Tamandua tetradactyla: one gene and its partners. The protein of the gene in region 3 interacts with the protein of the main gene of each other region in a pairwise test. Links are inferred from orthologs where the notes say so. Each region holds a gene or a part of one and is shown on either strand. Other genes may lie near its edges.

Region 1 (7,454 bases), on a different chromosome or scaffold from region 3:
CAGGCCACGAGCGGGCAGCTCCAGTGAAGGTCTTCAACAAGCTCCTTAGGAGAGTCTGGCTGGCTCAAGCGGAAAGAGATTCTCTCTCTGAATTCTCTTCTAAAGACTTCAGGTGATTAGATTAATTGTCACTCGTTGCAGAAGACACTCCCCTTAGCCAACTACAGATGTACCAGCCATGGATGCAACCAACTTGCTCGTGGTTCAAGTCCATGAACGTCCTCCCAACCACAGACAGGCCAATGCTTGCTTGACCGAACAACAGGGTACCATCACCTGACCGAGACGGCACATGAACCTAATCATCACGATGAATAAACGGTTTTCCGTATAGGACCCTGCTTTAGTCTGCAAGCTGCCAGAACGCAATATACCAGAAATGGAACAGTTTTGTAAATGGGGAATTTAATAAGTTACAAGTTTATAGTTCTAAGGCCATGAAATAATCCAAATTAAGTCAAGGGAGAGTATCCAAATTAAGGCATCCAGGGAAAGATACCCTGGTTTAAGAAGGCTGATGATATTTCAAGTTTCTCTTTCAACTGGAAAGGCACATGGTGATGCCTGCTAGCTTTCTCTCCTGGCTTCTCCAACAGCTTCCCGGGAGCATTTTCTTTCCTCATATCCAACAGTCTCTGGCTGTGTGGGCTCTGTTGGTTCTGGCGGCTCTAAAGCTTTCTTCCAAAATGGTTCCCTCTTAAAGGGCTCCAGTAAGCAACCCCACCTTGAATAGGTGGAGACACATCTCCATGGAAACCATCTAATCAAAAGTTACCACCCACAATTGGGTGGGTCACATCTCCATGGAAACAGTCAAAAAAGACCCCACCCAGCATTACTGAATGAAGATTGAAGGACAAGGCTTTTCTGCAGTACACAACAGATTCAAATGGCACAGTCCCTTAGATTTAAATCAACAGCCATGGAAAGCAAAAGTCATTATCAGCCAAGAAATAAAGATATCTGTAAATAATCACGCATTTTCCTTACTGCTAGGACCCAACCTGCAAGTTTGTGAAAACTTTAAATTGTACCTACCACTTTTATTTTCCTGCAGGCATCCTAATTCCTGAACTAAAACATCTGATTTGCCAAGCCCTCCAGCAACAAAATGCCCGGCTGGGTTCAAGCCTTGACCTGGCCAGGTGCAGACGACAGCAGGAGGGGACTGTGTCCTGGAGCCCTCGGGCTGGTTTCTACCCACTTCCAGCTACCTCAGGAATTACACTCTCAGCCTCAATGTTCCCACCTGTTAAGTGACACTGGAGGCAGAAACGAGAAATAAACTAAAAATGTAGCTAAGGGATGGGGCACGAAGCCCAGGAGGCTGTCTGTGCCTCCACTGCACCTGCCCTCCAGGAGCACGTATGCACATATGCTGTGCCAGGGCGCCTGAGCAGGGCAAACGCTCCTGCCAGAAAAGTGAGTCAGCATCTAAAGCCACCTAGAGACAAGCCACCCCCAATTCACCTTCCACACTGCTGAGTATAAAAATTAGCTCGAAGGTGTTTGTGGTGAAGCAACAGGAAGCTGGAAAATAGTGCATATTAAGCAGCTCATGAGAAATGAGTCGCAAAATCTTAACAAAAAAACAAGAATGGACATTTGGAAAGAGCTTGCATGTGGCTGTAGGGCTTTCAGGCCAACAGCGAGATGGAAAGAAACTGAGCCACAGACCCCTTCCTTCCGAGTCCTCCACCCACACCCACTTTAAGGTGCCCGTACCCTTGGCACAGGAAAAGGACTTGTTGCCCTCCCAGCCACAACACAACGCTTCAGAAGTGACCGATCTGGCCGACTGCCAAGCAAAGGGGAGAGAGTGCGAGGCGGTAGCAGTCCAGCCCCCAGCAACCCCCAGCAACGTGCTCCCCATGCTGGGCTCCACACCCCCCACCCCACGCAGGAGCAGTCCACAAAGTACTCTGTGGTCTCGGGGCCCTACCCAGCAAGGTCTGCTCAGAGCAGACACTAATGGCCACCAGCAGCCCCCACAGGGAAAGAGAGGTTCTTTCCTTAGGATGATATTTGCTTGAATTCACTGTATCTTTCCAAGTGATTGTTCTTCCTGGAAATCGGTAAACTAAAGAAAAATGCTTACATTCTAATAACCCTAACTGCCCAGAGACCTCCTCTGGGCGAGGCACAGTCAGCAGTCCCTTGTCCTCGCATCGGCACGGTACAGGAAAATGACCGTCCCCACGTCGACACCGCAGAAATGAACAAGGACAAGGAGCGACTCCATGAAGGTCAGACCAGCAGGTCCTCAGGGCCAGACACACACCCATCCTGGGCAGGGCCGCAGTCCTTCAAAGGATTTATCAATCTCTCTAGCTGAGCTGGTAAATTAAAAACACAAAAGCACATTAAATATTATATGGCACACACGCCATTCAGAAATCTTGTGGAAAAAACTGACATAAAGTATATACAAGCAATGAACGTATATTTAATTCAACTCCCTGCTACTTCCCACTGGCTGCAGCTCGCCCACACCATCAGCTGAATACCCTCCCCAGGCGCACGGCCGGGGGACGGGCCGCACGTCTGGAGGGCAGGGCGGCGGCTGCCACTGTCCTTGTTCACTGGGCGTCAGGACGCCACCCCCAGCACTGTCGCACGGCGGAGCTGGGGAGAGACACAGTTCCTTCCCACAGGTTTCCTTCTTATCACGCACAGATGTCTTCCAGGTAAATAAAATGCCATTTTATTTCGTTTAAACTCATTTACTCAATACGCATTATCAGGACCCGAGTAGGATCCCCTTAGGGTTGAGAACCCAGGAGGACAGAGGCCAGGCCCGCGGAGGGCACACACAGGGGCACGGCGGCCTCGCACCTGCATTCAAACTCCAGAGATGACCACCCAGACTCGGCATCCCCACCGGAACCAGTCCGGGCCAATCTCCTGCACAAACGTCTCCAGAAACTAGTGTCATGAGGTGGTCCAGAGGTCCCCCCATCACCCTCAGTAGGCTGCAGGGTCCCTTGCCTTTCCCATCCCGCTAGGGAGAGACACCAGACTCACCGTCCCAAGACCACAGCTGGGAGACACCAGCTAACTCCTAGCGGCTCCTCCTCACCCAGCCCGCTGCCCACGGCCAGGGCGACACTCTCCTGCACCCTACCCCCACTTCATGGCCCTGCTCTCACCTACAGACACCCTAGTGCAGGCTCCTGCAAGGTAGAAATGTGCATGCGAGGTATCTGCATCATTACCATGTATCGCAAGAATGCCACAGCACACCCTCCTCCCGCCAACAGAACCAACTCCCCTGGGTCCTCTGAATAGCTGGTGCACAATCTGTAGAAATCACTCTTGTGTATTTGTTTTATACAATATGGATATACTGTACAAATCACAACTCCCCCAAATCAAGATGAACTAAACCTTACCACTGTTTCTTTTATGATCGCTGTTATACACCACAAACCTGAATGTCTAAAAATACAGCGATTACCCTGTGGAGTGTTCTATTTTCATCTTCTAAAAATGGAGCTACCGACAGCAGAAGCAATCTGCTGTTAGATGTCAACCACGCTTCACGCCATTGGCAGGATGTGCATGTCTGCCCTTCTAGACTGTTCAGCTGTGGTCTCGCCACGATGGAGCCCGAGGCACCTGGAGAGGCAGCACCGAGGCTCTGCCGGGGGCCAGGGGGCCTGGGAGCCAGGTGCCCTCTAGAGGCCCCTCTACGTCCCCAAATGACCTAATGCAGCAGGGGCCTCATTTCCCACATCTCTAGGACAGGGGGGCTCCTACTGCCCCCCTCTCGGGGCAGAGTTCCAACGGGCCCCCATGGAGGCCCCTGGCTGACGCTGGGCACGCAGCAGGGGCTGACAAGCTGCATCGCCGGGCGCCACGGGAGGCAAAGCTCTGCCACGCAGTGTCTGAGTGTGCAGCACGGCCAGCTTGGCTGCCAGAGAAGCATCTCCCAGATCTGAGAGGGACATGAAAGCGGGAGAGCAGCAGCACGGAGGAAAGAGCAGAGCAGCGAAGAAGCTTCCACCCCAGAGTGCGGATGACGGCGTATCCTGCTGAATCTCCTTGCCAAAGACAGATGGGGCTGCGTCCATCCTTCTCCAGAGGACTGGGTCTTGTCTTAATGCCAATCTAGAAAGCAGCAGACTATACCCAAAGACCCATACATTAAAAATATGGTTTTCTGAAACAGCTTTCTCTAATTTTTGCAAGTCTCCTCACTATGAGAACAGAAATATCAAAAATTGTAGACTGAAATCCCTAGCTCATCTAAACCATGCTCTACTTTTTGTAATGGAGTTAATTTTTGATTCTCAGTGTAGAAGTAACAGAGCCACCTCTCCCCCGACCGGCTCGCACGCGCCCTCACGATCCAGCTCGACCTCAAGGGGCACACCACCAGGCAATGCTCCCTCCCCCAGGACCCGCGACACAGCGCCCTGGGCCCTGGGCACCCAGCCGGCTGTGCTCCTGCACCCCACTTCCCCAGGTCGCCTCCTGCACACAGGCCCCGCAGAGAGGAGCTGCAGCGCCACAAAAGGGGCTTCCAACGCACAGGTCACCCACTTCCTGGACAGCACTGATCTCGCGGCATGGCTTCCTCCTCTCATAAGCTACTGCAATCCTTCAGCAGCTCGGAACAGATTCGTTTCCTATAATTCCATCCACAACCAAGACGCTAAAACATGTACCACTACAAAGGATTGCCAATAACACGCAAAATCAACGGGCAAGGGGAAACTGTAGAAATCACACCAAAACAGAACAGAGACGCAGCTTTCTTCACCTGAAACCAATCCACAGGGCTGTCCACCTCTGGACGGATGGCACCTGCGACGTGGGACCCACAGGCCCTCTGTGGCCAAGGCGGGCGCTGTGCTGTGGCGGCTCACACTTAAGTGTCCACAACAGAAAGGAGAGCAAGCTTTTTTTTTTTTTTACTGCTTGAAAAAACATCTAGAAAGATTCACTACTCAAATTATTTGGCAAGTGTGTTATCTTTAGTTTTGCTTTCACTTTTTTATAATGCAGTTTTATTGAGATACATCATATATTCAGATGCCATATAATCACCCACACTGTACAATCAGTGGCTCACAGTATCATCGTATAGGTCGACTGCTGAATAGACTTTCACTTTTTAAAAAATTTTTATTAATAAAACCAATCAACACACAATATGAACATTCTTTTTTTATCACATAGTTGCACATTCATCATCATGATCATCTCTTAGAACATTTGCATCAATTCAGAAATAAATATAAAAAGAAAACAGAAAAAAAATTTATACATACCATACCCCTTGCCCCTCCCTTTCACTGATCATTAGCATTTCAATTTACTAAATTTATTTTAACATCTGTTCCCCCATTATTTATTTATTTTTAATCCATATGTTTTACTCATAAGGTAAATAAAAGAAGCATCAGACATAAGGTTTTCACAATCACACATTGCGAAAGCTGTATCATTATACAATCACCTTCAAGAAACATGGCTGCTCTACATTTTCAGGCAGTTCAAAGGGCAAGCTTTGAGCTCAACTGCAACTACAAGGAAAGAGGAGAGGGAGCACATCGGTGTCAGATGCGTGCTCCTCATACGGACAGTCTGAACTAAGAGGCACCTGCAGCCCAAGATCCAGTTTCATACATTAGAAGACACACATCCTACTGATGGCCAAACACCAAGTTAAGCAGTAGACAGAGCTAATTAGAACCTCAGGTTCCTGAAATCTGCTCAATGCCCCACACCTCCCACTCCAAGAATACAGAAATTATGATTAGAATACAGAATATAATCCCCACACCTCACTTTCCACACAGAGTTCAGCTCAAAAGAAAGAGAAGATTCTGGTTACCAATGGGTGCTCTAAGCAAGTTTGCTGAAGTCCAGCTGCCTATCTGGGATAGAGGCTTCAGAACAGAGGGCTGAAAGGACCTTACTGGGTAGCAGATGTTGCCTTGGGCACGCCATGGGCAGAGAGCTGAAACTGAGGACGATGCATCAGGACAGAGCTCTCCAAGGGCCATCCAATCTAGGAAAGGGGGACTGGAAACCCACCTGTTAGGCCAAGAAGGAGCTGTGAAGAACCTGCTGTGAGAAGCAGACTCCCCTACGACCATGCCTTTATGGAAGGAGCCTCCAAATTCATGTCCTATTCATGCAATCTCAGGTCTAGAAATTAAGAAATAAGACTAGGCCAGAACTTGGGAAACCTGGGGTCCACAGGAAAACAAAACAAAAAGGTTCTACAATCCAGGGCATCAATAATTCCAGGGCACATGAGACACCCAAAGAAGGAGGGAAAAAAGGGGAAAAGAGAAAACTTCCTCTTGAAGACAAATTTACAATAAAAATCTAAAATTACAAATGACACACAGTAACGAGGAGAGAATCAGCAAGCACAACAAAACAGAGAAAGGACTCCACAATATCCACAGAGAACAAAACAATATGGAAAAAACTAATACATGCATGTTTTTAAAAAGCAAGAAGTTATATGAAGGAAAAGCCTATAATGTAAGAAAGAAACCATGGAAAAAGAAATGGACTTTTTTTTTTTAATAACGAATTTTCTAAAATTGAAAAGTAGAGCCACTGGGCGGCCCACACAAGCTCAGCAGGCCATGGCAGAGACCTGGGTTCGATTCCCAGTGCCTACCCATGCAAAAATAAAAAAACATAGAGCCACTGAAAATAGCTGATTGGGCATAGCTAGAGACAGAACACTGAATTGGTAGATAGATCTGAATCACCAGAATACATTATAAAAAGGTAAGGAGGGCGGGCCATGGTGGCTCAGTGGCAAGATTTCACTTGCATGCCAGAGTGCCAGAGACCTGAGTTCGATTCCCAGGGCCTGCCCATGTAAAAAAAAAAAAAAAAAAAAAGGGTAAGGAGAAAAGCAGCTTGAGTAAAACAGTGTGATGGCCCAACAAATACCGAGCATGAACTCAAGGAGTAAAGAATGGAAATCATGGAAAAGAAGTACTATTCAAAGAGATAATGAATCAAGAATATTCCATAATTCCAGAAAGATAAGAGTTAGGTTTAAAAAGCATGCTACTGTATGGGCACTTGCTTTCTTATCTCTTCGTTACCTAGAAGTAGAACATTTAGATCACATGGGAGGTGTGCGTCTAACTTTTTAAGAAACTGATGAATGGTTTTCCAACGCAACTGTATCATTTTACAGTCTCGCCCACTGTACATGAAAGCTCCAGTTCTTTCACATCTTTGCCAACAATTGGTACAATTTTTTTTCCATTTTAGCCATTTCCTCAAGCCTAGGGTTTATATTCTCCTAAAAGTATTGATCCAAAAGCAGAGGCTTTAACTTTAAGCTCAACTTTTCACTTTGTCGTTTTATACACCAGGCATTTGTTAATGTATCTAAAAAAATCTTTGCCTAACATAGGAATAAATATTTGTGACCCTATTTCATTCTAGAAGATTCATACTTTAAAGTT
Region 2 (7,371 bases), on a different chromosome or scaffold from region 3:
AATCCTGAACTCCAGGAGGTTTGGCCTGGCCATATATTCCTGGGGGAGCCGAAGGAACCCCAGAAATCAAAAGAATAAACCCGGAATTCAGGGACCTCGAGAGCCTGTCCTGGTTGCCCATGTTGGGGCTGCAGCGGCTTCTTACATCCCACACCCCAGCTCAACTGAGTGAACTCCAAGGGCTGGGCATATTCAACCCATTAATGTTACTATTGTGGGAGAAAGCCAAGACCAGAGGCCACAGCTCGCCTCTCAACTACTGCCCGTGTTTGGGGTAGTAGGTTCCCCTTTGGCCTTTCCCTGGGGTAGGAGTTCGTCCACACCTCCTTTCTGGCTCTCTTGCCCCCAACTTTCTTTTTCTCTGGGGCAACTTGGTCTGTTTACTGAAGAAGAATTGGCATTTTTCCCTCAGTGTAGTCCTGGCTGGCTGCAACACCTACAGCCTGGCATAGGTGTCCGGACCCCGAGCACCAGACATGTCTGCCCTGCAGAACGTTGGACTCAAAGCCAAGCCACCAAGCCCAGGTTCCATAAGCCCCTGCCCAATCTAGATGGACTCAAATCAAAGATAATGATGCAGTAGATTTTGGGCCCCAGGAACATAAATGGCTTCTTAGGCCTCTCTAACCAGCAGGCAACCACATACTGGCCAGTTGCACTATTTCTGGCCCAGTCATGTTTAGGTGGGCTGGCGAGTTCAGTATTTAGAACCCAGAACCCTTGATAAGTTGCATTTCCGCTTCTCCAATGCAGAATTTCAGGCTGGACCGACCTCCAGGTCGCCCATCTCGGCCCTCCTCTTACAGCTCCGCAAACTGGGACCTGGAGAAATCGCCAAACGAAACACCAGCCTGCCAATTAGAAGTGACACGATCCGAAAACAGGAGCCTCCAGACCATGCAGCATTCTGCGATCAATGGGCACTAAGCTGTTCCAATTCCCTTAAGTACAAAACACTTTATTTCTGAAGGCCCAAGAGTTAAGAACTCCTTGGCTAGGCCCCAGGTTCTTGCCGGGTGGAAAAGGGGAGGATGGTTTCGGTTTCGCCTGGGCCTCGGTCGGCCAGGTGCACAGAGCCCTTCTTCCGAGCCCGGGCGCCCCAGCACCTCTTGCAAACCATACATACTCCGTCCCAACCAGCCCAGGCGTTCCAGAAAAATCTTAGTTCCTAGGCCCGTGAGAAGTTTTGCTTCAGGAAAAGTTCCCCATCACTGTGTTAGCAAAACATTTCCTAAGACAGCAAGTCAAACCGAATTGGCTTAAAAGATCTCAACGAAATTCAATTAAAATAAATTTAGGGACCAAACTATAGGGGCTTGAGATTCCGGAACCGCTTGGTTCCGCTCTGGCCGCCAGAAAGGAGAGAAGTGCAGGCGCCAGAGTGATAGGAGAAAACAATGGTTCATGTCTCTCGTTGTACTTTTCCTGAACACCGCAAATAAACCTGTCCTTGTCTACTCCCAGACCCTGCAAAATTCTTTCCCCTGAGCCCCGCGTGTAAGCCAGGAGGGGATTTCCAAGCCGCGCTGAAAGGCAGGCCCATGTTCAGGCTTCATACCACTGCTTCGGGTAGAACCCGGCCCCCTATATAGCACAGAATCGGATAAACTGTTTTTTTCCCATCCCAGGAGACTGCCCCCACGCGCGCCTGGGCAGGAATTCAGGAGAGCCCCAGTTCTACACTTCCATATCCTGGAACCGTAAGTGGACTCGGACACAGTTTCAGGAAAATCACTATTTAGTTGCTAGCCCGTTCATTTACTTACCCTCCCCCCCCAACTTGGTACTTGTGTTCCTACTGTGTGCAATATCATATTGCGCTGTAAAGTCTGGACATCCCAGCGTAGCGTAGGCAGCTCATGCTGTAGGAGACCCACTCCGAAACCCCCGTCTGGACGTCTACGATGCCCAGTGCCTAGTGACAATTTGGTGGTTCCCTGGACAACAAAATCCTCTTCCCGAGGCAGAGCTTGAGACTGCAACGGTTCCCCCTTCCCCACTCCCGAAGGAACTCGAAATCCGGGAGTCTCATGGAGCTTTAGGGGCGAGGACCTCCCGGCTCATGCGAACAGTCCGATTCCCGCCCTTCCCGGAGGTGGAAGGCGTCGGGAGGTGGAAAGCGTCGGAAGCCGATGCCGGCGTATGGTCCCTTCTCAGGGCATCGCCTCGTCTTCCCGGCCGCTGCTTCCTAGACCTTGGCCGGACAGCCGAGTAAAAGCTAAGATCAGGGAGAGAAGAGGCACGAGAAAGAAGAGCCTGCACTCCGTGAGAGCCCCGGCGCCACCGCCCCGCGTGTAGGGGGCGCTCCCCGGGCTACTTACCCTGGTTGCGAATAGCGGGCTGGCTCTCGAGGCAGCTGGGCAGGTAGGGCGCGTTGGGGAACATCCTGCCCTGCCCGGACGACGCCTGGCTGGGCGGAGGAGGACCGAAGGGTCCGTAGCGACAGGCTCCGGCTGTGCCGGTGAATTGGCCGGAGAAATGGACGGTGAAGGCGCTCAAGCACTGCTCCTCGTGCGGCTCCGCGCCGCCCCAGGTCGGCTCCTGTTTGATGAAGGAGTGAGGCGGCGGCGGCGGCGGCGGAGGAGCCGGCGGCGGCGCGGGACCGCCCAGCGAACCGTAAGCCGAGGCGCCCGGGGGCGCGAAGTCCAGCACCGGCGCCCACTGCGCGGCGCCGCTCACAGGCAGGGCGCAGCCGCCGCCGGTACCCAGCGAAGGGACCGCTGGCAGCAACGCATTCAGGTCCCGCACGTCGGAGCCCATTTGCTGCGGCTCAGTCCCGGGCGCCCCGCGGCTCCTCCGGTCCTGCCCACGCTCTGTGCTCGACGCGGCCGCGGTGAACTTGGCCCAGATGCCGCAGCCCGAGCCGCGTGTCCCCGGCTGCTCCAGCTGCTGAAGGCACCCGGATCCCGAGCGCGTGCCGGGATGCGGGCTCCGGGGCACACGTGGAAGCCGGCTCCCGCGGCGGGAGGAAGTCCAGGATCGCGGAGAGGAGCAGCGGGGCCTGGCCGCTGGGACTGGCGTCCCGGCTCTGAAAGGTGGGTGGGAGGGAGGGCGGGAAGGGAAAAGGGGGGAGCAGACAGTCGGGTTGCGGAGAGCCCCCGGGTGTGGGTGCTGCCTTGAACTCCTTACCCCAGCTGCCTGGCTGCCCCCAGCTTCCCAAAGCTCAAATAAGAGGGGCCGGCGGCGGCGGAGGAGGAGCCAGGAGTCTCCGCCGCTCCATTCACACCGCAGCCCCAGCCGGGCTAGGCAGCGCGCGCCGCTCCTTGGGGGGGGGGGGGCGCCCTCGCAGCGGGGGTTGGAGGCGGGCCTGAGGGGCCGTCTCTCTCAGAGGCACCCTCCTCTCCTTCCACCCGCCACACGCACTCAGCTAGCTTGTGGGGTGCATCCCCCCCGCCCCCTCTTTAAGATTTCGCGAGTGTGGATGCCTCGAGGCACTGGTGAGTCCCTCCAGGTGAGAGTTCGTGTCCACTTTGCACTCAAGTGCGAAGGGGTGGGGATGGGGGTGTTAACCTGAGAGGGCGGGCTGGAGGGAGGGGCAGGTAGCCTCGGCTAGGGCGGGAACTTGGGTTAAGCACAGAAAACTTGCCTGGACTTATAAATCGCAGATGCCCTTTCTCTGCGCCTAGGAATCCGGTTCCTGCTTCCAGAGCCGACAGGCTAGAGTGGTGGCCATAATTTGGGGGTCATGGGGTGCGGAGGTTGGGGGGGTTGGTATAGGCCCTTTGTGGATTCCGGAGGCCCGGGATTCGAGACGAACGTGCCCCAGATTGGTGGCCTCGAGAAGTTGCATCTGTTGTAATAAGCCAGGCATGGTAGTTGGTAGTTGTCTGGTAACTGGCTACCTGATGAGGTTTGTACCTAGAGGAAGGGGGTTCCTACCTATCTAAAAATCCGTGTCAGCCACGTTAATCGCCCTTCCTAGTGCAGAGTATCTGATTCTTCCACGGTGAAGCTCGGGAGAAACAGTGGCTAGTTTGGGGGGCGAGGGGGTAAGAATACCCTTGGGGAAAGGCCCGGAGCCTGCCGGAGCATCCTAGCACCCTGTCGGAGGTGGAGATGGAGAGAGAGGGGCTCCTGGCGCCGCTCGTGCCAAGCTCTGCCTTGCTCCCCGGCGGGGGTACCACCCTCGGCGCGCAGCGGTCCGCGGGGAAGCGCAGCCCAGAAAGGCGGCTGGAGGAGCCGGGTAGGGAGCGCGTCCTTCGGCCCACGCCGCGAGGCAGTGTCGGCTGGGAGCTCCCCGAGTGGACCCCAGCCAAATCCTCTCCTCTCTCCGCCTGGCTCCGCGCCCCACAGGATCTATCGAGGATAAGGCGGAAGGCCCATAGATGAGGAGAAGCGCCGGGACTCCCGAGTGATGTGCATTTCAGGGGCGCGGGAAACGCCCAGCGGCGCCTGGTGGCCCAAAGGGCTCAAACTGGGACGGCAAGGCGCCCAGGGCGGGAGGCGGCGGGTTGCCCTGGGTCCTGGGCACCGGGCGAGCCGGGGATGAGGCCCGCAGCTTTCCAGCCAGGGTCCCGTGAAGCATCAAGGTAGATGCAGTTTCACGAAGACACTACGCGTTGATAAAGCTTTACTTACTCTCCATTTCGTAAGCTTTGGTTTTAATTTGCACTCGCTAAACGCAGTCGCTGTGAGTTCCGGCTGCGGGCACCCAGCGTGTGCGGGTTTAGGACGTCCGCGCTGTCCGCAATTCCCAACTTTTGGGATCGCCTGTCAGGAGACCCTGAGGGCAAAGATTGGGAGCATGCGCTGCCCGCTGCTCCCTCAGCCACCTTCGCGGTCGTGGACACCTCCCTGCGCTACTTACGGTGCTTGACTTTGCCACATCTCCACGCAGAAACATTATTATTATTTAAAGAAATGGAAGAGGCTCTTGATTCAGGTTTCTTTTTCTTTCCCCTGCACTCTATGGAGAGAGTCGACTGCTCTCCTGCACGCCCCATCCCTGAACCTGTTGCAGAGCTCTAGGGCTGGGCAGAGGGCAAGTGCGTTTGGTCTTTGTGATGGAAAAAGACCCCCGGAGAGAACTTGTCTCAGGCAAGTAGCCCTAGAGCGCCCCAGCCCCCACCTCTCTTCTATTTCTACTTGGAACTCGTTTTTCTTAACTAGGACTCAGGCGCTACGAAGCAAAGGGGTTCCTTTCCGAAAAGCCAGAGATTTCCATTTCTAAACGAAAAGAATGAAATTCTTTTTTTAGCAGTCTTTTGCAAGTTTTGTCTTGGGGGAGGATATTTGGAGGGACTGGTTGAAATGTGAGTCTTTGTGGTTTGGGATCCCACGAAGGACAAATGCGCTTACATCTCTGCTTTTAAGTTAAAAAATAAAAAAAAAAAAGGTTTGCCCGGGGAAGCGGGTGCGGAGGTGGGAGGAAAGGGCAGACCGACAAATTTGAGACTCGCTCACTGCTCCACCACTGGTTTCCTGAAATGCCCTGTGGTGGGTTAGCATAGTGGTGCGATTCCCATTACAACCCCCTGGTGCCCCCTCTCCGAGTCTTGCGGTGCAGAGCGGTGAGAGGAGTTCCCTCCAACTGACCCGGCAGAGAGGTAAGTGCTGCAAATCAGACACCCCGCCGTTGAGGGCCCCGGGACCTGTACCGAGACCTCTGAGGCATCCCCCCCCAACACACACATATACACACACATTGCGCTCTGGCACGGTGTCCTGGATGGCACCCGCAGACCCCCGTGTCTCAAGGGCCCCATACCCCCTTCCCCTCCTCTCCTCCCTCTCCTGGCTACGTACTCTGCGGGAGCCGAATGGTTACCCAGGCCGACGCACCGGCCACCCTGTTCTCGGCACCCCGAGTTGGGCCAAGAGGCCCAGAGCCTCAGCAGGAGGAGGCCGCATCCTCGGCGGGCCCCGGCCGGCAGGCGCTCTCCTGCTCCTCCTGCAGTTCGAGGCCGGCCCAAGGTCTCAGGGAAATGAAGGCTGCAGAGAGCTGGTGGCTCCCCTCTTTCACCCCCCTTCCCACATCGTCAGCGCCGAGACTCATGGCCAAAGGAATACCAGTCTAAATCACCAAAAGTCAGACCTAGAGATTCAGCTCCCTTTCTACAGAGAAAGAAACGAGGCCCCGGCAGGGGAGGAAAGGCGAACTGCGGGGCGCAGTGGTTACGAACAAGGAATTGGGGGCCAGAAAATGAAATCTCGGCTCCGCCACTTTAACAAGGGCTGTGAACCTACTTTAACAAGGGCTGTGAACCTAGACGAGTTCCTTAGCCTTTCAGAGACTCGGTTTCCTTATGGGTCAGACGAGCTCATGGGACCCTAGTGAGGATTAGATAGGAGTTGAGGATTAGATAAGAGAATGGTGTTGGCCTGAGAGCTGAAAAAACTTTGCAATTTTTGTTAGCATATAATACAAGGATACATGGCAGTTTATGGAAGAACCGAGCTGAAACTCGGGTCTCCCTCGAGGCTTTGCCACGACCCCTTTGCCTCTCTAGGGTGGGGGTAAAGAAAGGAGTGAGGAGGAAAGGAAAGATGCTGGAAACCTGTGCGGCTTTGGTACAAGAGTAAAGCGCATCCCCGCCTGGAAGGTGCATGTAATTATCGCAAGATCAAAAAATCGCGGCTGGGGGGAAGCGGCACTGAGGTCTCTCGACCCCCGGGACCGGTTTTTTCAACCGGCACCGACAGCGGAGCGCGGAGTTGGGCCGCAGGGGCCCCAGGGACCAGCGCGCACGCCGGGGCCGCGCTCCAGCGTCACCCTGAGGCCACAGACATCTGAATAAACACGCTGAAGCGCTGCGATCTGTCAAGGGCCAGGGCTCTGGGCCGCAGAGGCCCTTGATCAGGAGTGGCCCGACCTCTCGACAGCCCGCCTCCCGGGAGGAACAGGCGCTCCGCTAGGTCCTCGCCCGAGGACCTGCGCCCGGATCCCAACGCCCAGAACAAACGGCCGGACATCTGCGGCTCCTTCCCCACCAATTTCAGCTCTTAGAATCTGCCCACCTCGGGCCACCCAGCAGGCGCTTAGGATGGTTACCAGCCACGAGCTTCACTGTAGAATTCCCAGTTTTTTGTTTTCTCTTTCTTTAAATTAAAAATTTAATAAAAAGAGCAAGGTAGGGATCTTTTGTCCTAGCCCACTCCCGTCTTCCTCAGCTTGTTTGACAATGAACTCGATCTTTTATATATACATATATTTATATATATGACCAACCCCTCCATCTGCGGTTGGAGTTCTGTTCTCTGACTCGTTTTGGGGTCCCGGGAACCGCCGTGCACTGGAGGGAACGCCGCGCAAATTCCCCCTTTTCTCCCCCAGCGCGCCGTGCCTGGAGCCGCCCGGGTTACCGGTCGGTTCTGATGCCAACGCAAGCCGGATCCCCGAGCTCCCGGAGTCCTCAGTGAAAGGATTCCGCA
Region 3 (7,877 bases):
TGAAGAGATAGTCCATGCTCATTTTCTGGAAGGCTCTGTTATTTAGATAGCAATCATCCTCAAAATATATTCATGTGGTCATAATCAAAATTTCAGCAGGGTTTTTTTTTGTAGACATTGACCAACTAAGTCTAAAATTCTATGGAAGTGCAAAGGGCTAAAACAATCTTGAAAAAAGAAAAGAAAGTTGAGGGTTCTCACTTCCTGATATCAAGGTCGTAAATCTAGGTTAACTAAGACAAATGATAATGGCAAAGGATAGACAAACAGGATTAGAAGAGAATAGTAAGCCCGGAAACAGACAAACACATGCACAGTTGTTGAGTTTCAATGAATGTGTCTCTCCAATCCATGAAGGCAGAAAGTCTTTTCAACAAATGGGGCTGGAGCAGCAGGATAAAGGAGTGAAATAAATGAGCCTCGACCTCATCTCATATCATACACACACAGGAATATTAATGAAAATGGTTCCTAGTCCTAAATGTAAAACTTAAGATTACACATTTCTGTAGTAAAAATTTAGGATAGCAGTCTATAAGCTTAGAAGTCACCTCGGAGTACACAAATATTTCTTAGAGAGGGCACAAAAAGCCCTAACCAGGAGATATTACAAACAGGAGTTTATCAAGATTAAAAGCTCAGGGTGGGCCACGGTGGCTCAGCAGGCAAGAATGCTCGCCTGCCATGCCAGAGGACCCGGGTTCGATTCCTGGTGCCTGCCCATGAAAAAAAAAAATTGAAAAAAAAAAAAAGATTAAAAGTTCATGTGCATCAAAAGGCATCATTACAAAAATAAAAAGGCAAGTGACTGGCAGGGAAAAAATATTTGCAATTCATATAGCTGACAGAGGCCAGGTACCCAGAATATAAAATGAATTCCTACAAATCAGTGGTAAAAAGATTTTTTTTAAATAAAGAACCAGCTTGAATAGTTGCTTCACAAAAGAAAATATCCAAATGGCCAATAAGCACATGAAAAGATGCTCCCCATCATTAGTTATCAAGGAAATATAAATTAAACCACAATGAAATAACATTTCACACCCACTAAAGTGTATAAAATGTATAAAATTTCACAACACCAAATGTTGGTGAGGATATGGAACAACTAGATCTCTCACACATTATTGTGAGAATATATAACCGCTTTGGGAAAAAAGTCCAGGCTGTTTCTTATGAGAGAGACCATGCACTTACACTATGACTCAGCAATTCTACTCTAATGTTACTTACCCAAGAGAAGCAAAAACATATATCCACTAAAAGATTTGGATCAGAATATCTATAGCAATTTTATTCATAAGAGTCCCCAAATAAAAGCAATTCAAATGTTCATTCAGAGGAGAATGGATAACCAAATTGTGGTATATCCATATAATGAAATACTCCTCACTGATTAAGAAAATAAAAAGGATGAAGTAATACTGATACAAATGACAATGTGGATGAATTAAAAGCATAATGTCAAGCAGAAGAAACCAGACAAAGAAGAATGCACACTATGTGATTCCACGCATAAAATTCATGAATAGGATATACTCATCCACGCTAACAGGAATTAGAATAGTGGTTGCTTATAGGAGGTGGAACTGAGTGGAAAAGGGGCATAAGGGCACATTCTGGTGTGATGGCTGGGTATATAAATCTGTCAAACCTGCACATTGATCTCAAGAAAACCAAAAGTTGGAGGAACAAAAAGAACGTGTCCCCACAATTATGGAATTACTGGCGAGTAAGATTCATCAATTGGAGACCCTTCATTGGCATTATATTTTACTTTTGAAAAAGTGATAGACATTCGTATTGTTCATTTCCTGACAAGTTTGTGCAATAAATGGCACAGGTAACATTTTTCTCATTTTACAGTAGACTGAGTCCCAGTGGGGTCTCGTGACTAGATAAAGACTGTATAGCTAATAAGTAACAATGTTGGAATAAGAATCTAATGATTATGAACCCTTAGGATAGGACTCCTCCACCAATTTTCCTTGGCCTTCAGTGTTAAATTATTTTCACAGGAATCGTGTACCAAGACAATAACTTCTACTAAGAGCAGGGGATATATTTTTAGCAAACATTTATTAAGAACCTATTTTATTAGGCCCCATGCACTGGGGCTATGAAGTTTTAATGGGGCATTGTCAAATAAGACCAGTAAACATTGAAATAATTTTAAAATTGCAATGCAATGTGACAGCTGCTATAATGGAAGCAAGGACACATTGCTGTGGTTAGAGCCCTATCTCAATGTGAGGCAGCTGGGTGCCACTTTAGCTGAATCCTGATGCAGGAGTTCATCCAGGACAGGAATGGTGGAAGAGTATTAGTCAAAGTAAAAACCTGCAAAATATAGAGGTGTGGCTGGAGTTTGGGGTTAGTGAGAAGGAGTATCAAGAAATGAGCCAGTTTGAGGAAGATTATATACGCCATGATATGAAGTTTCAACATCATAAATGGAGAGTCACAAAAATAAACTTGCATTTCAGATATTCAGGCAGCAGTAGGTGAATGTTCTGGGGTAAGAGCATTTTACAAATCAAAATAATTGTGTTTTTATCATGACTTGCCATGACATCTATTTATTTTTCTCCATTCCCAATGTCCCTTCCTCTGAGGATGATATACTATAAAAACAATTCTGGGCAATTTCCTTGTAAGCTAAGAATGATAGCTACAGGCCATCACACAACACTGCATTAACTAATCAAAGCCAAAATAAACAGCCCTTCTTGGTGTTTATATACAATAACAGTAATCAACATTTTGCAAATAGAAATTACGTTGAGACAAAAGGAAATGTCTTACTTTACCTGCGACTTGAAAATAATGACACATTGCTGCATTTTAATTAACTGGATACACTGATGGACAAGCAAGTCCTAGATTCTCTTCCAGGATATTTCTCTTCTGACTCATCAGAGTACTATGGGTTTGTAATTTTTCTTCAGATCATGTTTTTTGTTTCATATATGTAACTTTATTAACACCTACATTTGTATTGTGGCAAAATAAACATAACATCTACCATTTTAAAGTATACAATTCCATGACATTAAGTACATGCACAACCATCACAGATTGTGAATTATCCAGATCACAGATTGTGAATTATCCAGACCAGAACTTTTTCTGCTCTAATAAGGTCTTGAATTTTTTAACTCATCTCATTTTCAGAACAGCATCAAAATATTATGAGGTATATAAGAATTTTCTTTTTTATTTTTATTTCTTTTCTAGTAGTAATGAAAATGTTCTAAATTTGATCATGGGGATGTATGCCCAACTATGTGATTATATCGTAAGCCAGTGATTGAATACTTCAGATGGTTTCTACAGTGTGTAAATATATCTCAATAAAATTGCACTAAAAAATATTATGAGGTACTCTAAGAATGTTTGCATAGGTGTTGAAATGTAAAGAGAATCACTAAAATCAAATACAACTTTGTTCGATGAAGAGTAAGTCCTAACAGACTATTTAAATCCATTATTCACAGTCTCCTGTTTTTGTTTTGTTTTTGTTTTTGCATCATCAGATATCTAGGAAGCAAGATTTAGAGTTAGAAAAAAATGAATTTGTCCTGGATTATGAATTTTTTTTTTCTTATAAGGCTTTTTTCTTGTAAGGATCTCAAAGATTCTGGAGGCAATTTGCTCTGTGTTACCTCTGAAAATGAAAGAAATACCGCAGTTAAAGCCAAGCAAAGTGGGATAGATAAAGCTTCAAAGTGGAGGTGAGATTAAAAAGAGAATCAAAAAAAGTTATATCTCAAGTCCCTATCCCTTAGAGACTCCATCCACGAGGGATTCATCATGAAACCGACAACATAAAATTTTTATTCCCAAGTTCCAGTATTTTTAATTTTCATTAAATTGAGGCCTTTGAAAAAAATAAATAAGAGAAAGCAGATTCCATATCAGAAGAAACGTTTCCTGTAGCTTTCTTGCCCATATTCTAAGCGCAATCATTGAAGATTTCCCAAGCACCTAAAAGATAGTAACTTAGAATTTATATTTCACTCTTATCAGAAGTGCCTAAGTAACCTACAGGTATTTCCAAGGTAAAATAATAATAATAATAGTTCCCCTGATCTAAAAAATGAGACATATAGAATGTACAGAAAAGGCAAGTTCCAACAAATCAAGATTTATAACTTCAGTTCCAGATAATCAATTTATATTTTGGCCTACAGGGCACAAATTATGCCTAACAATTAGGCAATGTGATCTTTCAATTTTCACAGAGAGCGATATGGTTAACACACACACACACACACACGTACACATACACACTTCACACAAGTGCATGCCTCACTTCTCTACCATGCAAGCACGTATGCCAATTCAAGATTGCAAAAAGCATTACAAAAATGGCTAATCACAATGAATATTTTAATATTGGTGGCACAAACAAATAAATGGCATTTAATGAGTTGCAATATTAATTTTAAGAGAGAAACAAATTTTAAATGAACATGATCAAAATCCATTGGAATATTTTCCTTATTTAAATCAGTTACAAATTGGCCAAATTTTCTTTCTTTCCTTATTCTGTCAAAAGGATAGTGCTCCTGTGCAGATTTTCTGCAACCAAGTATTTTATCCTACTAGCACATGGAAACAGTATAAGTTCTGATTTAGTAACCTGAAGTTAACCTTCTTTTATGAGGCATAAAACTCTTCCTCAGTAAATAAACAAGACTAATGAAATGTTCTTAGGAAAACTAGCACAAACAGTGATAAAGAAAACATCTGGTGAGACCTGTAAATACCCATTTTGTGGGGGACATATAAAAGTCTCAGAAAGGAAGGAGACTTCTGGAGTCAGGTCACTTGGGTTTTGCAAATACTGTCTGTTCTTCATCTCTACTAGGATGACTTCTGACCATGCCCCCACTTGCTGCTCTACTGAACCCTGTCCTAGGGCTTCTGATTTTCCATCTGTTTCAACCTGCTCCGTGGAAACAGCTTGTCTCCCCAAGGTCTACTCCACCTCCAGATGCGAGACCCCTGGCTTCCAGTCCAGGTCTCACCTGCCAACCCATTGCTTCAAGCCATATTACTTTGCTGGGAGTCGTAACAGTCCATGCTTGGTGGGGACCTGTGCTTGGTGTGAGGATGGGGTCTTCAATAGCAATGAGAAGGAGACGATGCAGTTCCTGAATGACAGGCTCGCCAGCTATCTGGAGAAGGTGCACGGCCTGGAAGAGGCCAATGCAGAGCTGGAGGGCAGGATCCGAGAGCAGTGTGACCAGGAAATCCCACTGGTGTGTCCTGATTATCAGCGTTACTTCAACACCATTGAAGATCTCCAGCAAAAGGTTTGGTGTTTTGCTGCCCTAATTCCTCTGCCCTCCCAGTGATTTGCTTCATCTTCAGTCTAGAAGAGGCTGTTTGATGAAAGGAAATCAAAGGAGAGGGAAATTCCAAGAGCTAACGTGGAAAGATCTCTGGGCAAAGAGTCAGGAAACCTCAGCACTAGCCCCAGCACTGCCACTAATTAATTAAGTGACCATAATATAGTCACTTAGCTGTAAGCTTAACTGTTATCTTCTATAAAATGAGAAAAAACTGTAGTATGTCTAAAACTACTTCTGTATTTAACACTGTATATTTATATTTAAACAGAATCTTCACTGTCATCTTTTTAATCAAACGATTTCACCTGGTAGCCTTTTTCTTCTCTTACTGATAAATTTCTATTACCATGGATGGGTATATAGTCGTGAGTGACATAGTTCATCAGAAAAGCAGGCTGAAAGCTATACTTTCTTTTTTTTAACATTATTTTTATTGTGAAAAATAACATATATAGAGAAAAGCAATAAATTGAAAGCTATGCTGTCTTAAAGAGATTGTTAAAAGATACATAATTGCATTGATTTTAAATGAATAGTTAATTGAAAGCTATACTGTCTTAAACAGATTGTTAAAAGATACATAATTTCATTGATTTTAAATGAATGGTTAAGTTTCATGCAAATAATCATTTATTACATAATAACTTACTTCCCAGATCTTGTGCACAAAGGCAGAGAATTCCAGACTTGCCGTACAGCTTGACAACTGCAAACTAGCTGCCGATGACTTTAGGTCAAAGTAAGTTTAATTTGAATTTGAAAATTATTTATGGTTTCTCTGTCTCTCCCTCTCTCACACACACACACATTTAGCACAAATATTTTTAAGCTACTAATGCTCACAAACCTGTAATTTATAGTTATTTGGGATATGAAGTAAATGACAGCATGTGGCTCCCTTGAGTTCACGTGTCATTCACCTGTACGCCCACAGGGCTTGCACAGCACCTGGCAGAGTAAGCATTGGATGTGTCCGTCTTTTGTTATGAAAGGTACGAGGCTGAACTGTCTCTTCACCAGCTGGAAGAGACAGACATCGGTGGCCTACGTAGGATCCTGGACGAGCTGACCCTGTGCAAATCTGACCTGGAGGTGCAGGTGGAGTCCCTGAAGGATGATCTCCTTTGCCTTAAGAAAAACCACGAAGAGGTGAGGAAACTGGCAAGGTGGCTGAAAGACTCTGAGAACAACAAAGTTTAAGATTTCATGTTCAAGTATTCAAGTTGAACTTGGGTAGATGTTGCTTAAGCTGGAACAAAATTACCTGAGGGCACTATGGCTATTCAGCCTGATCATTCCAATTTGTGTCTGAATATGGACAGGGAATAGCTCCTGGCCAGTACCATGTGAAGGGTCCAAACTCTCCTCTTGCCATTGCTTTTTGTGGAGGAAGTAAATGACTTTGTAAATGGCTTTCCTTGGAGGCTTCATGCCAACTCCAGTCTACAAAAATCAGGTTGATGAACACAGGCAATGAAATCTATTTCAAAAAGGGGGATAAAGATTCATGCAATATTTGGATCGGTATTTTCAAATGTTCTGCATTTGTCCCTTATTGATGAAGCTGGAAAATGAAAAACTGATGCAACAAAGTACATTTTACCTCTGAACATTTGCTGATGATAATAATAGTTAACATTTATTGAGCTCTTACTATGTGCCAGGGCTTTTATAAGTTCTTTGTATATATAGTAAACGCTCACATATCTCACACTAACACTTTGGAAAAGACAAAATTATTATACCCATATTGCAGATGAAGATAAAAAGGGACTTCTAAGTGGTGAGAAGAGATTCAACCCAGTCGATTTGAAACTAAATCCCACAATTTTAACTACAACTCCAAAAACCAGAAATGGGCTGCCACTGGGAAAGAATTCTGTCAAACTGATTCCTCACCCCCGCCCCATCAGGCGGTGACATTCTCGACTCCATTTCCACTTTCAGGAGGTCAGCTTGCTTGCTGAACAGCTTGGTGACCGACTCAGTGTGGAGCTGGAACCTGCCCCAGCCATTGACCTCAGCAAGGCCCTGGATGAGATGCGCTGTCAGTATGAAGTGGTGCTCGCCAGCAACCGCAGCGATGTGGAAGAATGGTTCGCTGCTCAGGTGGGCACCTGCAGCAGGAGAATGACAGGCTTCCAGACTCTTGCCTTCTTTGTGTTCTTTAATCACCCCTGTGTTTCAGATGGAGGAGGTGAATCAGCAGCAGCTGTCCAGCGCAGAGCAGCTGCAGAGCTGCCAGACGGAGATCCTGGAACTGAAACGCTCGGCAAGCTCTCTGGAGATTGAGCTCCAAGCCCAGGAGAATCTGGTGCGCAAGGGAAAGTCAGCTTCTGTTTTGTCACAAATGAATCAGGCCCTGAGATAGTCCAGGGAGATACTGTCCTCTCTTCCATAACCCAAGGGAGAAACTCACATTCATATAGCAAAAGTTCTGAATTTCCAGTTTGCAGGGTCTACATTTCCTTGCCTTTCCTGAGCATGCTGTCAGCTAGCAGAAGTCACAGGTCAACA
Region 4 (7,756 bases), on a different chromosome or scaffold from region 3:
TCCCTTCCTATGTAGAACTTAGGAACCAAACAGATACATCCAGATACGATTTTTGAGACAGAACTAGTATCCCTCAGCTCAATAAATGTGAAACAGAGCTGTTTTCCCTCAGATAATTTGTCCCAATTCTCACTAACCAAAATCAGAAACTGAATGGATTCAGATACAGTCTTGGGACAAAGCTAGTATCCCTTAGCCTCCAAACCCTCCATATTTGCTACCCAGACACAGAACCCTTCCTACTGGCCAAGCCAGATACATTTGAAACAGCCGATTTCTCTCATTATCTGACCTCTCCCTATTAAATTATCGAAAAAGCAGCAATTGAATATGTTCAGACAACTTGTTTGCTCTGAACTCTCACTACCCCAAGTCAGGAGCGAATGGATTTACATATATTTTGGAGAAAGAGCTGTTATCCCTCACTCCCTGAACCTTCCTTACTCACCAGGCAAAAGGCAGCAATGAAATATATTTACACAACACGGTACTTCTCACTCTTCAACTCTTGTCACCGGAATTCAGGAAAGTGAATAGATTTGAATATACTTTTGAGTTAGAGCCTCATTATCTGAGCTCTCTCTACTCACCAGGTAAAATGAGGAAACTCAAATACTTTAGACAACATGGCATCATTCATGTCTGAACTATCAGAACTCTCCCTCTCAGAATTCAGGTACCAAATAGTCTGGGAGAGTGAGGGATGCTTGTGTTGTTATTATTAATGGGTTTAGATAAATGAGCTGGGTCTGGTATCCCTCACTTTTCAAACTCTCGCCACTTTCTATGAGAAACACAGAAAAAAAACATAATTGAATAAGACATTCCCCCCAAATTCTCCCTACCCATCCTCAGAATTCAGAAGATTCAGACAGTGACGGATCCTATTGTTGCTGCTGTTGTATTGTTCCTTCTGCATCAGCCTGATTCTAACATCCAGTGAACTCCCGGCCCCACCGTCCCAGACCTGCCCCACAGAGGTGGGGTGGACTTAGCATGAAGATTTTTGTTGTTTACTGCCAAGAGAGGGGGATAAATTCCTGCCCTAATCCTACCCACTCCAAGCCTGGAAGCCTGTAACTTAAAATGGACTTTTTTTTTTTCAGGCCAGTAAGGCAGGGATCGCACACACACCTAGAATCAAGACCAAGGGCTTGAGCAGTTACACGACCAGGAAGACACACATAACCCCAGGTTCATCTTTTACCAACCCCCTCTGACGTGGGGCAGTCCCCAACTTAGCAAGCCTGGAAACATAACCTGGACCGTGCAGACTCCCAGAGAGCCACTGAATAATTTAGGGTGTTCTTTTGCACTTGGGGAGGGCAGGGGGCGTAAGAACAGTTCCATGCCCTCCTGGAACAGAGAGAAAAATGCAAGCTCTGTGTGAGATCACTGGGGTGGGGGTGGGGGTGGGGGTGGGAGGAATCACATACAAAAAACCCTATCAGCCACACTGGCCCTACAAGGCTGTTTGTTTCAGGGAGCTGTGGGTCATGGGGGAGGCAGGGAGAGAATGCCATTCCCCCTCTTGCTAAGAGAAGCATCTGGGATATACCTCAGAGGTCCTAGGAACCGAGGAATCCCCAAGTTCAGGGGCAGGGTATAATGGGATCCCTGCCCTTCTGGGTTCAGAGGGTATGGGAAGGAGGGAGCAGGGTGGAGGGGCATAGTAAGGGGTAGATAATAGGGTCCGGGGTTGTGACAGGATATAGGGACAGGACAGGAAGGTGTGTAGGGGACAAGGCAGAATCAGAGTCATCATAGGACAGAGGTCAGGAGGCAGGCCTGGGAATGAGAAGGACACTGGCCAGGGGATAGGATAGAATGAAGTTCAGGACAGGGGTAAGAGAAAAATCACAAGGGGAGAAAACACCAGGACAGGGCTCCAGGTCTGTGTACAACCTTAGTCAGAAGACTTGATGCGGGACAGGTGAAGACAGTGGTCATAGAAGGGGCTAGGGAAAGGGGCAGGTTCAGGACGGAGGTCAAGAACAGGAAAAGACCAGGGCAGAATGAGGAAAGGAGTAAAGATGGTGATGAAACAAGAGAGGACTGGGAAAATCAGGACAGGATTGGGGGAAGGGACTGACAGGACAGGAGACATTCCAAAGGTGGTAAACCAGCTATTAGGGGAGGGGCCAGGGGGACGGTACAGGGTGGGGAGAAAGCACAGAAGTCAGAGGTCAGGAGTCAGGATACAGCAGAAGCAGACTGAGGTCAGGGGGGTAGAACATGCCCAGAGGGGGTTAGAGACCTGGACAGGGGGTTAGGGAAGAGACAACAGAAACTGAGGTGGATGTTGGGCATCAGGACAAGGCCAGACGAGCTTCAGAGATGAGACAGGGTCACACAAAGACCCGGGTTCAGGCCCAGGATCCCAAGGACAGAACTGGGGTTTGGGGTCAGTGCTAGAGGGTTAAGGGGGAAAAAAAAAAAAAAAAAACAGGTACAAATGATCAAAGCAGGCCAGAACATGGTTAGGTCAGCGATCAGGGCTGGGGTTCTGGGGCCAAGGGTGGCCGAGTTCGAGGTTAGGAAAAGAAATAGCCAGGTCAGGGCATGGGTCAGGAGTGAGGCCACCAGGTCAGAGGTCGCGGGGTGCGCGCCCAGGTACGTCCACCGTCGGTATTTCCAGGCCCTCACCCCGCCCTGTCCCTCCCCTGCCGCCCGGGACCGGGTTATGACTCACCGAGCGTCCTCGCACCGCGACGTCAGCGGGGTCGTGTCAGCCGGGAGGGGTAGTGGGTGCGCCCTTCCCTCGCCGAGCTCCGATCTTACCCGGGCGCGCGCCTATTCCCCTTCCGCGCCCTGCCCGTGGACCGCGTGCCGCCGCGAGACCGTTAGGCGTGGGGGCCAGACGGGGGACGCGAGAAGGGTGGGAGAGAGGCGCCAGACTCCGCGCTGCGGGTGGGGAAGCCCCGCTTGCCACCCTTCAGTTAAGTCTGTGGGCTTCGGCGGCACCACCGCCTCAGCCGCTGAGCGCGAGCCCCGGGAAGAAGGGGGAGGGGGCGGGGCGCAAGACCACAGCCGCGATGGGGCCCAAGTGCGCAAGCGCGAGCTCCGGACTTCAATTTTCCTGCCCTGGGAGCGCCCAGAGCGAACGAGCTGGAAGCGCGTGCGCACGCGCCTTCTCGAGGGCAGCCGCGCCAGCTAAGGAACAGGGCCTAACAGTGCGCGCCCCTGGAGCGCTCTCGTTCCCGGCCCGGGTCCCGCCCCCACCGAGGCCACGCCCCCTCAATGCCCAAACTGGGGCCCCTAACCCCAGGTCACCCTGCCCTCAAACAGCCCCTATAACAGACTTCTAAAACGCTCCCAACTACCCACCATGTCATCCCCAAATGCACCCCCAAACCACCCTCCAGTGACCGCCAAGCTATGCCCAAACCACACTATATTGACCCCAAGCTATATCCCTAAATTGTCCTCCATGGACATCAACATTGCACCCGAATTAATTATCAATGAATCCCCAAACCACACTCCATCAACCCCCAAATCACTACCCATTTGCCTCTGAATTTCAGCCTCAAACCACCATTCATTGCCCCCCCCCCCATTGACCCGCAAGCAGTACCTCCAATCTACCCTCCATGGACATCCAAGCTTCACCCATAAACTACCCTCACTACCTAAGTTGTTCCCCCAAACCATGCTCCATCAACCCTGAAATCATCCAACATTAACCTCCAACAGTAGTTCCAAACTACCCCCATCTATCCCCAATATATGCACCCAAAAACATGCTTCATTATCCCCAAAACCACCTCCCATGTACTCTCCAAACTACCATCCATTGCTCCCCAAGTCACTCACCAAGAGTCCCCAACATCACCCCAAACACTCAACTATCTGCAGTGTGGCCCTCACCTGCCATTCAAATCACTATCCAACAGTAACCTATGATACCTCCAAACCATGCTCCGTGGACCCCCAAACCACCCTCCATTGACCTCTCTTAATTACCTTCCAACAGCCCCCATTACTATCTCAAATACTCCCAACTACTCTTAGGTGTGATCCCAACTGCACTTCAAACCAGCCTCCAACACTCCCTGCACCTCCAAACCACAGTCCACAGACTTAAACTTCACTCCAAACCACTCTCCAACAGTCCCCAATTATACGTCCAAATAGCTATCAACAACGTTGCTGTAGTTATCCAATGAACCCCCAAATCATACTCCAGTGGCCCCAAATGTGTCCCCCAAACCCTCCAATGATTTTTTTAAAATATTTTTATTGAGAAATCTTCACACACATGCACTCCATTCATGCTGTACAATCAATGGCTCACGATGTCATTCATAGTTATGTATTCATCACCATGATCATTTTTTAGAACATTTGCATTACTCCAGAAAAAGAAGAGAGAAAAAACTCATACACACTATATCCCTTACCTCTCCCTCTCATTGACCACTAGTATTTTCATCTACCCAATTTATTTTACCCTTTGTCCCCCTATTATTTATTTATTTATTATCCATATTTTTTTTACTCATCTCTCCATACCCTGGATAAAAGGAGCATCAGACACAAGGTTTTCACAATCCCACCATCACATTGTAAAAGATATATCTTTATGTACAATCACTGCAAGCTAGGGTCTATAGTCAATAAAAACATTGTAATATGCTTCCACTCAATGTAATGAAGACATTATGCCAAAACTAAATGTCAACGGGGGGGGGGGTATGGATTTTTTGTGGAAGAAAAGGAAATGTCTTCATGTAGATTATGGTGGCAAAGGTATGTCTGTACACTTAGGTTGGATTGCATGATGTGTGAATAAAACTGTTTAAAAATGAACAGAGAGAAATAAGTGCTAGAGAAAATGTGGTGAAAGAGATGTACCTATTCACTGTTGGTAGAGAAACTAGAGGTGCAGCCTCTTGGAGGGCAGTGTGGTGGTTCCATAGGAGGCTAGGGGTGAGTTTCCATATGATCCTGCAACCCCGTTACTCAGTATATACCTGGAGAAACTGAGAGTGGGGACACAAATGGGCATTTGCACACTGGTGTTTATGGCAGCAGTGTTCCAGATCCACAATGAATGCAGGTGGCTAGAGGGTAGAACGACTGAGGAATGGAAGGGGGAACTATGGCGTATACATACAACAGACTACTGAGCAGTGGCAAGAAGGAATGAAGTTGTTAGGCATGCAACTAGGTAAATGAACCTTAAGGACTGTATGTTGAATGAAATATCAGAAACAAAAAAACAAATATTGTCAAGCCTCATTCATATGGACTAACTATAATGTAAAAACTTGGTGAACTGAAGTCGGGAGCATGGGTTATCAGGTTGGGGCCTATTGTAAAGGATCCTACATTGTAAGCTCTTACAGCAGTCACATATATTCATGAGTTGTAACTGTTAATTTTAAATTCTGAGATACTGAGCTGTTTGTTTATGACCTGGTCATTTCCAGAAATTTCAGGTATTTATGTGACAGCTGAGACTAAGAGTTAGAGCTCTGAAGCTATGAAAGTCAGCATTACCCCATATAGGAACTGTTTAAAAAATTGAAAAAATGATTAGACATCAAGTAGAGATATGAATGAAACTGATCTGGATAGGACTAAGGAATATTAGAAGACTGGGTAAAGGACGATATCATCCAGATTTAAAAATTTCAACTCCCTGAGTGAGACTGAAGTGAGAAATGATGATTTGGTGCAAAATTTATATTTTGGGTGTGCATTTCCTAATTTAACTTGCATGGTCAGTTTAGTTGAACACCATAAGTACATGGAATCTTGAATAAGGCATGAGATTGTGTTGGCTTGTCCAGATTAGTGTGATGTCCTGATAAATACCAAAGTGATTTGGACAGTTAATAAAGAAGTATTTGCTAAGCCCCCTTGGGGGAATGGGGAGAAAGGGGGAAATATTCACGTTCCCCATTTGGAGAATTTCTGATATTCTCGCAAGCAGTGGGGACAACCAAATCAATAGGCCAAGCCCTCAATCTTGGGGTTCGCCCCTATGAAACTTATCCCTGCTAAGGAAAGGCTAAGCCTACTTAAGATTAGGTCTAACAGTCACGCAGAGAACCTCTTTTGTTGCCCAGATGTGGCCTCTCTCTCTAAGTTGACATGGCAAGCTAACTCACTGCCCTTACCCACTATATGGGACATGACTCCCAGGGGTATAAATCTCCCTGGCCATGTGGGACAGAAATCCCGGGATGAGACAGGACCCAGCATCACGGGTTGATAAAACCTTCTTGACCAAAAGAGGGAAGAGAAAAGTGAGAAAAAATAAAGTCTCAGTGGCTGAGAGATTTCACGCAGTTAAGAGGTTATCCTGGAGATTATTCTTAGGCATTATATAGATATCCCTTTTTAGTTTATGGTGTACTGGAGTGGCTAGAGGAAAGTACCTGAAACTGTAGAGCTATGTTCTAGTAGCCATGTTTCTTGAAGATGATTATATAACAACATAGCTTTTACAATGTGACTGATTGTGAAAATCTTGTGTCTGATGCTCCTTTTATCTACAGTATGGACAGATGAGTAAAAAATGTGGATAAAAAATAAACAAATAATAGGAGGAACAAAGGTTAAAATAAATTGGTTAGATGCAAATATCAGTGGTCAATGACAGGGATGGAACGTATGAGGGTTTTTTCTCTTTTTCTGGAGTGATGCAAATGTTCAAAAAATGATCATGGTGATGAATACACAACTGTGTGATGATAATGTGAGCTATTGATCGTACACCATTCATAGAATGTTCGTATGTCAAGAATGTTTGTATGTTTGTTTGTTGTGTACAATAAAAATATTTTTTTAAAGAAGAATCAAGGCTACTGGAACACAGCTCTAGAGTTTCAGGTGCTTCCCTCTAGCTACTCCAATACACCATAAATTTAAAAGGGGATATCTATATAATGTATAAAAATGGCCTGTAGGAGACTCAGCATCAAGGGACTGAGAAAAACCCTAGAATGAGCTGAGAATTAACATCAAGGGATTGAGAGAACCTTCTCGACCAAAGGGGGAAGAGTGAAATAATACTAAATGTCAGTGGCTGAGAGATTCCAAACAGAGTCGAGAGGTTATCCTGGAGGTTATTCTTATGCATTAAGTAGATATCACCTTGTTGTTCAAGATGTAGTGGAGAGGCTGGAGAGAACTGCCTGAAAAGGTAGAGCTGTGTTCCAGTAGCCATGTTTCTTGATGATGATTGAACAGTGATATAGCTTTCACAATGAGACTCTGTGAATGTGAAAACCTTGTGTCTGATGCTCCTTTTAGCTACTATATCAGCAGAAGAGTAGAACATATGAAATAAAAATAAATAATAGGGGGAACAAATGTTAAAATAAATTTAGTTTGAAATGTTAGTGTTAAATGAAAGCGAGGGGTAAGGGGTATGGTATGTATAATCTTTTTTTCTCTATTGTTTTATTTCTTTTTCTGTTGTCTTTTTATTTCTTTTTCTAAATCGATGCGAATGTTCTAAGAAATGATGAATATGCAACTATGTGATGATATTAAGAATTACTGATTGTATATGTAGAATGGATTGATATCTTAATGTTTTGTTTGTTCATTTTTTTTTAATCAATAAGAAAAAAATAGCCTGCAGGATAACCTCTCAAATCCAAACTCTCTCAGCCACTAAAACTTTATTTTGTCTCATTTCTCTCTTCCCATTTTGGTTAAGAAGGCTTTCTCAATCCCTTGACGCCAGGTCCTGGTTCATCCCAGGATTTTTGTCCCACGTTGCCAGGGAGATTTACAC

Evidence for each region.
Region 1: the proteins of KRT40 (region 3) and HDAC4 interact in binary tests that used the Homo sapiens proteins (3 or more experiments, as listed by UniProt). The two-hybrid records come from large-scale screens. The link is inferred for Tamandua tetradactyla from reciprocal best matches to the Homo sapiens genes KRT40 and HDAC4.
Region 2: the proteins of KRT40 (region 3) and WT1 interact in binary tests that used the Homo sapiens proteins (3 or more experiments, as listed by UniProt). The two-hybrid records come from large-scale screens. The link is inferred for Tamandua tetradactyla from reciprocal best matches to the Homo sapiens genes KRT40 and WT1.
Region 4: the proteins of KRT40 (region 3) and CCDC120 interact in binary tests that used the Homo sapiens proteins (3 or more experiments, as listed by UniProt). The link is inferred for Tamandua tetradactyla from reciprocal best matches to the Homo sapiens genes KRT40 and CCDC120.

Annotation. Positions count from the first base shown.
Region 1 is NC_135329.1:216,321,053-216,328,506, forward strand, and holds the start of HDAC4 (histone deacetylase 4), read right to left. Parts: upstream 3,014-7,454; 5' UTR 2,286-3,013; coding exon 2,099-2,285; intron 1-2,098. UniProt on the Homo sapiens protein: Responsible for the deacetylation of lysine residues on the N-terminal part of the core histones (H2A, H2B, H3 and H4).
Region 2 is NC_135334.1:108,436,745-108,444,115, forward strand, and holds the start of WT1 (Wilms tumor protein), read right to left. Parts: upstream 3,019-7,371; 5' UTR 2,761-3,018; coding exon 2,322-2,760; intron 1-2,321. UniProt on the Homo sapiens protein: Transcription factor that plays an important role in cellular development and cell survival. Recognizes and binds to the DNA sequence 5'-GCG(T/G)GGGCG-3'. Regulates the expression of numerous target genes, including EPO.
Region 3 is NC_135332.1:26,431,558-26,439,434, forward strand, and holds the start of KRT40 (keratin, type I cytoskeletal 40), read left to right. Parts: upstream 1-4,874; coding exon 4,875-5,321; intron 5,322-6,016; coding exon 6,017-6,099; intron 6,100-6,352; coding exon 6,353-6,509; intron 6,510-7,307; coding exon 7,308-7,469; intron 7,470-7,548; coding exon 7,549-7,674; intron 7,675-7,877. UniProt on the Homo sapiens protein: May play a role in late hair differentiation.
Region 4 is NC_135353.1:121,100,623-121,108,378, forward strand, and holds the start of CCDC120 (coiled-coil domain-containing protein 120), read right to left. Parts: upstream 3,018-7,756; 5' UTR 2,693-3,017; intron 1,365-2,692; exon of another isoform or gene 1-1,364. UniProt on the Homo sapiens protein: Centriolar protein required for centriole subdistal appendage assembly and microtubule anchoring in interphase cells. Together with CCDC68, cooperate with subdistal appendage components ODF2, NIN and CEP170 for hierarchical subdistal appendage assembly.